Linked DNA regions of Macaca fascicularis. The main gene of each other region encodes a partner of the protein of the gene in region 2 in a complex. Links are inferred from orthologs where the notes say so. Each region holds a gene or a part of one and is shown on either strand. Other genes may lie near its edges.

Evidence for each region.
Region 1: the proteins of CKB (region 2) and ASB9 are in contact, whole or in part, in a cryo-EM structure (PDB 6V9H), measured with the Homo sapiens proteins. The link is inferred for Macaca fascicularis from reciprocal best matches to the Homo sapiens genes CKB and ASB9. Residues at the interface, in NP_001814.2 of Homo sapiens: Asn63, Pro64, Gly65, His66, Pro67, Tyr68, Ile69, Thr71, Arg130, Arg132, His191, Val198, Ser199, Pro200, Leu201, Leu202, Leu226, Trp228, Glu232, Ile238, Met240, Asn286, Arg292, Gly303, Lys304, His305, Glu306, Lys319, Arg320, Gly321; in NP_001026909.1 of Homo sapiens: Leu25, Asn27, Pro28, Leu29, Met30, Gly31, Asp32, Ala33, Val34, Ser35, Asp36, Trp37, Pro39, Glu42, Ile45, His46, Trp60, Ala67, Asp68, His69, Glu75, Ala100, Asp101, Trp102, Val111, Asp133, Leu134, Ser165, His166.

Annotation. Positions count from the first base shown.
Region 1 is NC_088395.1:15,048,948-15,053,558, reverse strand, and holds part of ASB9 (ankyrin repeat and SOCS box protein 9), read left to right. Parts: intron 1-3,606; coding exon 3,607-3,714; intron 3,715-4,611. UniProt on the Homo sapiens protein: Substrate-recognition component of a cullin-5-RING E3 ubiquitin-protein ligase complex (ECS complex, also named CRL5 complex), which mediates the ubiquitination and subsequent proteasomal degradation of target proteins.
Region 2 is NC_088381.1:171,694,080-171,699,267, reverse strand, and holds CKB (creatine kinase B-type), read left to right. Parts: upstream 1-1,791; 5' UTR 1,792-1,856; intron 1,857-2,145; 5' UTR 2,146-2,157; coding exon 2,158-2,350; intron 2,351-2,473; coding exon 2,474-2,833; intron 2,834-3,216; coding exon 3,217-3,388; intron 3,389-4,074; coding exon 4,075-4,198; intron 4,199-4,352; coding exon 4,353-4,542; intron 4,543-4,623; coding exon 4,624-4,802; 3' UTR 4,803-4,998; downstream 4,999-5,188. UniProt on the Homo sapiens protein: Reversibly catalyzes the transfer of phosphate between ATP and various phosphogens (e.g. creatine phosphate).

The DNA.
Region 1 (4,611 bases), on a different chromosome or scaffold from region 2:
TTGTCTACATTCTGAATTGAAGGATATGCTAAGTTTCAGATAGAGCTGAGTGAGAATAAATGTGCTTTAAAAAATCCAATTTCATAGACCTATCTAGAGTAAGAAATCCTCCTATAAGAAAATAATTTCTAAAGAAAAATTTCATACTATTCTAAGCCACTATCTTAAGCCATTTTTGGTAGCAGCAGCCTATTATAAATAGATTATAACACTAATTCTAGCTAAAAGAAGTTAGGCTACTTCCCAGATAAAATTAGAAATTTACCCTATTTTGATAGCACGAAAAATGATCACTGCAGCTTTTATGTATCACTTGTTAAATTGGACAGGTACTCATTTGCATTCAGTATTTATGTGTTTATGAAACATCAGCCAGAACCATCTCCAAGTTGTATCCCATTATTTGTGTAAGATGTCTTTTTAGAGCCCCAGTTTCTGCTTTCATAAAATGAGTATTCTGATACCTACCTAGGTCAGTCCACCCCATAACTCAATAACAAACCACCCCAAAACTCAGTGACATGATAACAGTAACCATTATTTCTTGCTGATGTGTGTTTGTGTCAGCTCATCAAGGCTGGGCCTGGCTGGGCTTGGCTCCCAGCTGTGGGTTGGGTGTAGCCCTGCTGCACATCTCTTTCATCCTTCTTGGACCACTGGCTACCTGAGGAATTATTTTCTCTTGGCAAAACGCTGGAGCACAGCAGGGCAAGCCCAACCATGCAAGAATACTTCCAATCTGTCCATGTCACATCGGCTAACATCCCACTGGTCAAGTCACATGACCACATCCAAACTCAAGAATCAAGAGAAGTACATTTTGTCAACTAAGAGTAGTTGACGACTGAAAATAAATATATTAAAGTTAAGCCATTCGATCTTTTTTTTTTTTTTTCAAAACTAAGAACTGACTGTGGACTGGACACAGTGAAGTAATGGGTTAATTACCTTATGATATTATATGACTCAGACTTGTTAATAATTTAGACAAACCACAGTTAATCTGAGGTAAAACTGTAGCTTGATGATGAACTATAAATGAGTTTCTAACTTTGTAGAAGGAACCTTTCTGTAATGTGAGTATGTGGTGAAAACTTTTTGTTTTGTGTTACCAATAGCTGTGTTGTTGTATTTCATTTACCTGGATTTATGTACAAACACCTAAATGCTGGTTTTATTACTATTATTATTATTATTATTTTTTTTTTGAGATAGGGTTTCGCTCTTGTTCCCCAGTCGGGAGTGCAGTGGCGCGATCTCGGCTCACTGCAACCTCCGCCTCCCGGGTTCAAGCAATTCTGCCTCAGCCTCCCGAGTAGCTGGGCCTACAGGCATGTGCCACCACGCCCGGCTAATTTCGTATTTTTTTTTTTTTTTTGAGACGGAGTCTTGCTCTGTCGCCCAGGCTGGAGTGCAGTGGCCAGATCTCAGCTCACTGCAAGCTCCACCTCCTGGGTTCACACCATTCTCCTGCCTCAGCCTCCCGAGTAGCTGGGACTACAGGTACCCGCCACCTTGCCCAGCTAGTTTTTTTGTATTTTTTAGTATAGACGGGGTTTCACTGTGTTAGCCAGGATGGTCTCGATCTCCTGACCTCGTGATCCGCCCGTCTCGGCCTCCCAAAGTGCTGGGATTACAGGCTTGAGCCACCACGCCCGGCCAATTTTGTATTTTTAGTAGAGACGAGGTTTCACCATGTTGGTCAGGCTGGTCTCGAACTGCTGACCTCAGGTAATCCATCAGCCTTAGCCTCCCAAAGTGCTGGGATTACAGGCATGAGCCACCGTGCCTGGTCTAAATGCCGGTTTAAAAATGGTAGTCGTGCTGGAGGAGCATGCGCATTTTCTATTGGTTGTTTCCTATTGGTTGCCTTTTGCCCAAGTTCTGTACCTCAGCCTGTCTTTCCCCCCACTTGTGTCTGATACACTTGCATGATTTTTGCTTCATGTGACAATCATACCCCTCTTGTGGCATTGACAAAACTACTTTTTCTAAGTGTGATGACTGAGAAAATAAGGTATTTTCTCTTGCCAATTGGACATTTAATCTTAGGTACGAATAGTAAAGTAAGAAATGACATATTCTTTTCTTTGATCAAGACAAGACTTGGCAAATTTTTTTCAGTAAAGGACCAGATAGTAAATATTTTAGGCTTTGTGAACCATGCAGTCTCTGTTGGAAGTACCTAACTCTGCTGTTTAGCAGAAAAGCAGTTGTAGACAGTATGTAAATGAATGGGCATGGCTGTGTTCTGGTAAAACTTTGCTTATGGATGCTGAAATTTGAATTTCATAAAATTTTCATGTGTCACAAAATATTCCTTTGATTTCTTTTAAACCATTAAAAATGTAGAAACCATTCCTAGCTGCTGTGCTGTACAGAAGCAGGTTGTGGTCTAGATTTGACTCTGTAGGCTGTTGTTTACTGACCCTTTTGTCAAAACTATGATAGAGCTAGGAAATCTACGAAAAAAAATTAAATGTCAGGAAAAGGAGGGTTTTTTTGAGGAAAAAAAGTTGGGTGAAACTGGTATTTTTATTACAAATATTATTAAATCCTATGTGCTACTAAATACTTACATTTAAAGAGCAATTATATTAGTTAATAGGTGCATTTCAATTTCCTAAATAAAGTACATTTAGGCTTCCTAAAAGGTACATGCAGTCTATTTCTTTTCCCTTGCAGTTTCATAATTTCCTTTTAATTGTCCCACAAGATAGAGACACTTGTGAATATGTTAAAATTTAATAATTGCTTCTTAAAACTTAGCAATTCGGGCCACGCTGACTTTAAAAAAATTGAGAAATTTCATAAACAAACATAAAAGAACTTAAACACGTGTGCAGTTGAGCAAAAAGTGATGATGATGAGAGTATTGCCATGTGACTGCCTCCCCAGGTCAGGAAATGGAAAAATAGCACATTGCCGGCTCCTCCAAAGAGTCACCCATCCCTCCCCTTACCATGCTTTCTAGAACACAATCCTGTCCTCTTCCACAGGATTAACCATTATCCCAATTTCCTTGTTTTCTTTATGGTTTTACTTTATATATTATGTCTTCTGAAACAATATGGGGTAGTTTTGCCTAATTTTGAACTTTAAATTGATGTAATCATTCAGTGTGTATGCTTTTGGATTTTGCTTCTTTTGCTCAACATTATTTTTGCAAGCATCACCCTGGTAGTGCTTGCCATTATAATTTGTTGGGTGTAATCTTTCTGCTGAAAGATTATACCAAAGTTTATTAATTCAGTTCATTGTTGATGGACATTTGGTTTGTTTGCAGTTTCTATTATGACCAATGCTGTTGTGAATATTCTTGTATATGTATCTAGATGTATATATATCTAAGAGTCAGATGGCTGAGGCATAGGCGTAGGCATTGTCAGCTCTAATAGATACAGTCAAACTGTTTTCCTGAGTGGTTATACCATATTACACTCCTACCAGTCGTGTGGCAGGTTTTTTTTAAAGTCAATATAAACATCTTAGTGTACCATCTGACTTTGAGCCAGGTCAACTTTGTCATAGTACTGGAATGGTGGCTGAAAAACAGCCCCGGGGCACTGTCGCTTTGCACCCCTTACTCTATTTCCCCTCCTTCAGGGGTGGCTTGTGAACATCATCACGGCAGATCATGTCTCCCCACTCCATGAAGCCTGTCTCGGAGGTCATCCCTCTTGTGTAAAGATTTTATTAAAGCATGGAGCTCAGGTAAGGGCAGCTGAAACAACATCTTAGAAACCAAGAATGAAAAATGACTATGTATATCCCTACTGAATAGCTTCCAGCACTTTTGATTAGGCTGATTTGAAATATGAAGACAGTTGTTTTTTAAGAAAATTATGTTCATCAGACTTGTTTGCTTTAGTGATAGGTGGATGCAATACTAAATTTTTAGTCGTGCTTACAGTCTATATCATTTTCTTTATCACACACTACTAATAGTTGTTAGACTTCTGTCTTCATTGTTATGGCTGGAAGGTAATGAAATATTGTGGAAAGCACACATTTGCCTGGGGTGGCTAGGATGTCTGAGGAGACAGAAAATCTATGTGGTCATTCACCCTTTGGCTGGCAACTTGGACTTGTTCACATGGTAGCAGGGATTGCAAGAGCAGCAAAAATGGACCTGTTTGGTGTTAGGTAACTGAATGGTGGGGTGGGGGATATTATGGGCTTGCTATCTTCTGGCAACAGCAAATGCAAAGTCCCAGAAGTGATCGTGAGCAATTTTTGTATCTTGAAGTCATTCCTTATGGCAGGAGAGTAGAGTAGGTGAGAGGATTCAGAACCGGAAGCAACCCTGTCCATGCCAAAAAAAGAACGGGCTTTGTCCCAAGATTAGTAAAGAGCCAGAGGTGAGTGCATTGCCAGATTTATATTTGGGCTAAGAAAACATTGAAAACTTGGAAACAGGGAAAGTGGCAAGGTGAAGCAAGAGACACCTAGGGTACAAACTTGAAAGAGGTGCTCGTTCTCAGGCTCCTGCACTATTTGTGTGATTCCAAAAATGAATATGTCCTTAAATTTTTTACCGTGGGCAACTTTGTGCCTCACTCTAGTCCTGGCCCTGCTTGGAAGTAGAGTTTGAGAATGAATTCATTGTCT
Region 2 (5,188 bases):
GTCATCTGGTTTGCTGGACTGCTGGCTCATGGCCAGTCTTCCTCCAGCCAGCAGCAGGCGCTGTGTACCTTGCTGCCTGATGCATCCCCAGCGGCTGGCACCGGGCAGGTGCTCACTGTACCACTGCTGGAGGGATTTATATCAAATATACCCACAGATAAGAGTTCCCCCCTTCCTTGCTTTATTCACAGAGCAACGGATGAGGGTCTTTAATGGATATTAACCCCACAGACTCCACTTCCCCCTCTTAACAGCTGCATAATATTCCATAGCAAGCAGGTGCCTTCCTACCCTTGGCCAGTCCCGCCTGATGGGCATCGGGTTGTATCCAGATGTGTTTGTTTTTCCCTCCACAGATCTCTTGGTCCATTAGTGGAGAGAACTGAGACATCCTTTCTAAGGGCTGCATTCCTAGAAGGGGGATTGCTGGGTCACGGAGTTCCAACATTGTTGTTGTTTTTTTTTTTTTTTTTTTTTTTTTTTTTGAGACGGAGTCTCGCTCTGTCGCCCAGGCTGGAGTGCAGTGGCCGGATCTCAGCTCACTGCAAGCTCCGCCTCCCGGGTTCACGCCATTCTCCTGCCTCAGCCTCCCGAGTAGCTGGGACTACAGGCGCCCGCCACCTCGCCCGGCTAGTTTTTTGTATTTTTTTTAGTAGAGACGGGGTTTCACCGTGTTAGCCAGGATGGTCTCGATCTCGCGACCTCGTGATCCGCCCGTCTCGGCCTCCCAAAGTGCTGGGATTACAGGCGTGAGCCACCGCGCCCGGCCCCCAACATTGTTAATGTTAATAGATTCTGCCAAATTACCTTGCAAAAAGCAGGCAGCAATTCAAGTTGCAGGCAGCGTGCGGACGCCTGTCTCCCCTCATTCCAACTCATAGCCAGCACTGGCTGGAGTCGATCTGGGAGTGCTGGGGGTAGGGAGAGGTGGAGTCACTGCTTAATTTGCATGACTCTAGTTATTCGTGAGATTTTTTTTTTCTTCTTCTTCTTTAAATCGCATTTATGCTTATTGTTTATTAGCGTTTCCTCCCATCCTTGCCAGAAGTCTCTGGGGACTGCCTTTGGGGGTCGGGTGAGCTTGTCCCCTGCGAAGAGGGCCCAGGGTTAGGGTCTGGAAACTCCAAGGCTGCACTTGCCAGCGGCCTCTTAAGACCACAGTGTCCGCGTGGTTTCTGGCTCGCATTCCCCAGAGCCCCAGGACTTGTCCAAGGTCAGGGCACCGCGGGTGCCCCCGGGCTGGGCCGCAGCCAGACTGCGCCTCCCGCGCGCCTTCGCTTTGCACCAAGATCGCCCAGGAGATGCCTGCGGGCACCTTGAGGAAGGTCGGCGGCTCCGGGCCAGCTCACACTGGCCGGGGGTGGGGTGGGGGCAGTACCTGCTGCGGAAGCCCTGAACGCTTTCGCCCGGCCCCTCGCCGCCGCCGCGGGGGCTGGCTGGACTAGGCGGGCAGGCTGGAGGATGCGGATGAACCCGAGCGTCCTCGAGTGCCCAGAGGCTCTCCGCCTCAGTTTCCCGCTCGGAGGCAAGGGCGTGCGAGGGGATCCAGATATTCAAGGATCTGAGGTTTCGGCCTCGAGGTCTTGGGCGGGGGACTGGGCAGGCTGCGCGGGGTCCCAGCGGGGAGACGGCTCGGGTGGGCGGCCGGGGGTGTCAGGGGCTGCGGGCGGCGGACAAAGCGGCGGCACCACCCTGCGGCGCGGGCCAATGGAATGAATGGGCTATAAATAGCCGCCAATGGGCGGCCCTCGTTGCGTCCCTTAAGAGCCGCGGGAGCGCGGAGCGGCCGCTGTTCGCCTGCGTCGCTCCGGCAGCTGCCGACGGACGGAGCGCCCCCGCCCCCGCCCGGCCGCCCGGTGAGTGGGCCCGGGGGCCGGGGGCGTCGGCGCCGGGGCTAGGGGCGCTGCGTGCAAAGGGGGCGCGGGCGCTGCGGCGTCACGCGCTCCGGGCGCGTTGCCTGGAGCGCGCGCCGGACCGGCCGGGGGTCCCGGGCGATGATGGCGCTTCCCGCGCGCGCTGCGGACCCCTCTGACCTTGGCCGCGTCCCGGGGGCGCCGAGGGGCCCGGCGGCGGGGGCCTGAGTGGTACGCGGGAGTCCGGGAACCCCGGCTTGCCGGTCCCTGCTGACCCCGCGTCTCCCCGCAGCCCGCCGCCGCCATGCCCTTCTCCAACAGCCACAACGCGCTGAAGCTGCGCTTCCCCGCCGAGGACGAGTTCCCGGACCTGAGCGCCCACAACAACCACATGGCCAAGGTGCTGACCCCCGAGCTGTACGCGGAGCTGCGCGCCAAGAGCACGCCGAGCGGCTTCACGCTGGACGACGTCATCCAGACAGGCGTGGACAACCCGGGTACGCGACCCCTCGGGGCCGGGGTCCCGGCGCCCCCTCCCCGCGCGCAGCCGCACGGTCCTCAGCAGCGCGCTCGGGCCCGGCAGTGACGTCACTGTCTCCGTCCCGCGCCCCCTCCCCTAGGCCACCCGTACATCATGACCGTGGGCTGCGTGGCGGGCGACGAGGAGTCCTACGACGTGTTCAAGGATCTCTTCGACCCCATCATCGAGGACCGGCACGGCGGCTACAAGCCCAGCGATGAGCACAAGACCGACCTCAACCCCGACAACCTGCAGGTGCGGGGCGGCGGGCGGGCCGGGCGGGCCGGGCCGGGGTCTCCGGGCGCTCACTCCCGTCTCGCCCCCCAGGGCGGCGACGACCTGGACCCCAACTACGTGCTGAGCTCGCGGGTGCGCACGGGCCGCAGCATCCGCGGCTTCTGCCTGCCCCCGCACTGCAGCCGCGGGGAGCGCCGCGCCATCGAGAAGCTCGCGGTGGAAGGTAGGGGCCGGGCGGGCCAAGGGTCGGCGGCGGCTGCGTGCCCCTCCCGGCGCGGTCCCCGCCCGCTTTTGTTTATGTCGCCTGGGAGCGGCAGCCGCCGCCGCGCTCTTATCTGCGCGCCCCTGGGTTCAGTTTCCCGGAGGGACCGAGGGACGGAGGCCCAGCCCCGCGCCCACAGCGGCCTGGGGCCCAGGGAGGGCGGGTCCTGGCGCGGGGTCACCGACTGGGACCGTCGCCCGGGCCATGAGGACTGGACGCCCGCAAGTCTGGGCGGGTGGGGGCCTCTGACGTCCCCCGGGGTGAAGCACGGGGGCGGGCGGGTCCGCGCTGTGGGCTGGAGGGGCGGGCGCGGCAGCCGAGCGTCCTGAGCGCACGCCCCGCAGCCCTGTCCAGCCTGGACGGCGACCTGGCGGGCCGGTACTACGCGCTCAAGAGCATGACGGAGGCGGAGCAGCAGCAGCTCATCGACGACCACTTCCTCTTCGACAAGCCCGTTTCACCTCTGCTGCTGGCCTCGGGCATGGCCCGCGACTGGCCCGACGCCCGCGGTATCTGGTGCGTGTCCCTCTGCGCCCTCTCGCGGCGTCCGCCCTCTCCGCCGCCTCCCCTTTCCCTCTCGCCCCCCTTGCCGGGGTGGGGCCCCTCGCGGCAGGGAGGAGGAGGAGAGGAGGAGGAGGAGAGGGAGGAGGAGGAGGAGGAGGAGGAGGGAGGGGCCGGCCGCGCTCCGGGTCTGGGTTACGTGCTGCGCCTCCCGCGCAGGTGACCTTGGCCGAGCAGGTGCGTTAAGGTACTGGGCCCAGGCCCCTGGGGGTTCAGGACTCAGCCCCTCTAGAGACGTGAGGTGGGGGCGGGGCCCCTGGCGCCTCTGCCCGACGCCCCTCGGGAGCTGGAGCTCCTTGTTTTCTCACTCCTCAGTCGCTGGGATTCTACCAGGGGCTGGTGACGCAGAAGCTTCTCCGGGGGCAGGGCTCCTACCCCCACTGTGGGGGGCGGGCGGGGCTGTCCTGGCGGTCCCTGGCCCTGCCCCACCTCAGACCACTGCACGACGTGATGGCAGCCGGGGTTCTGCTCACTGTGAGGCGTCTCGGCCCCGCCTGCCCCGTGTTGGGCGGAGTCTTGGCAGCAGCCCCTGCTCCAGGGCACGGTTGCGAGCAGCACCTCGGGGACTTGGGAAGTTCCTTTGGTCTGGGGACGGCCTGGGGCTTTTTTCTGGATATGCCCTGAGACCAGCCCTCCCGCAGGCACAATGACAATAAGACCTTCCTGGTGTGGGTCAACGAGGAGGACCACCTGCGGGTCATCTCCATGCAGAAGGGGGGCAACATGAAGGAGGTGTTCACCCGCTTCTGCACCGGCCTCACCCAGGTGCCAGGGACGGGGCAGGCCCAGACCCCAGGGCTCCAGCAGGGATGTGGGTGCCCCATCAGTCCCCCTGGGGGATTTCTGGGACTTGGGAGTCTCAGGGCCTGTGGGGGTCTCGGGCAGGCCTTCTCTCTCATACCCTTTTCTCCCTCTGCAGATTGAAACTCTCTTCAAGTCTAAGAACTATGAGTTCATGTGGAACCCTCACCTGGGCTACATCCTCACCTGCCCATCCAACCTGGGCACAGGGCTGCGGGCAGGAGTGCACATCAAGCTGCCCCACCTGGGCAAGCATGAGAAGTTCTCGGAGGTGCTTAAGCGGCTACGACTTCAGAAGCGAGGCACAGGTGAGCAGGGCGGGTGCTGCAGGCTTCCTGTTGGCCTTTGGACAGCCCTGTTTCCTCCGCCCTGACCTGCTGTCTCCCCAGGCGGTGTGGACACGGCTGCAGTGGGCGGGGTCTTCGACGTCTCCAACGCTGACCGCCTGGGCTTCTCGGAGGTGGAGCTGGTGCAGATGGTGGTGGACGGAGTGAAGCTGCTCATCGAGATGGAGCAGCGGCTGGAGCAGGGCCAGGCCATCGACGACCTCATGCCTGCCCAGAAGTGAAGCCCGGCCCACACCCGACACCAGCCCTGCTGCTTCCTAACTTATTGCCTGGGCAGTGCCCACCATGCACCCCTGATGTTCGCCGCCTGGCGAGCCCTTAGCCTTGCTGTAGAGACTTCGTCACCCTTGGTAGAGTTTATTTTTTTGATGGCTAAGATACTGCTGATGCTGAAATAAACTAGGGTTTTGGCCTGCCTGCCTCTGAGTGGTGCCTCTCCTTTCCCGGGGGGAAGGGGAAGGGCAGCAGCCAGGCCCCAGGAGTCTGAGTCCTGGGCCTGCCGTGGGCCTTGCCTTCCGTGAGAAGGGACAGAAGCCAGCAGGTGGCCACTCTGTTCTGCCTGTCCCACCTAGTCCATGGGCCCCTTTCCTCATGTCTATTGGGCTGT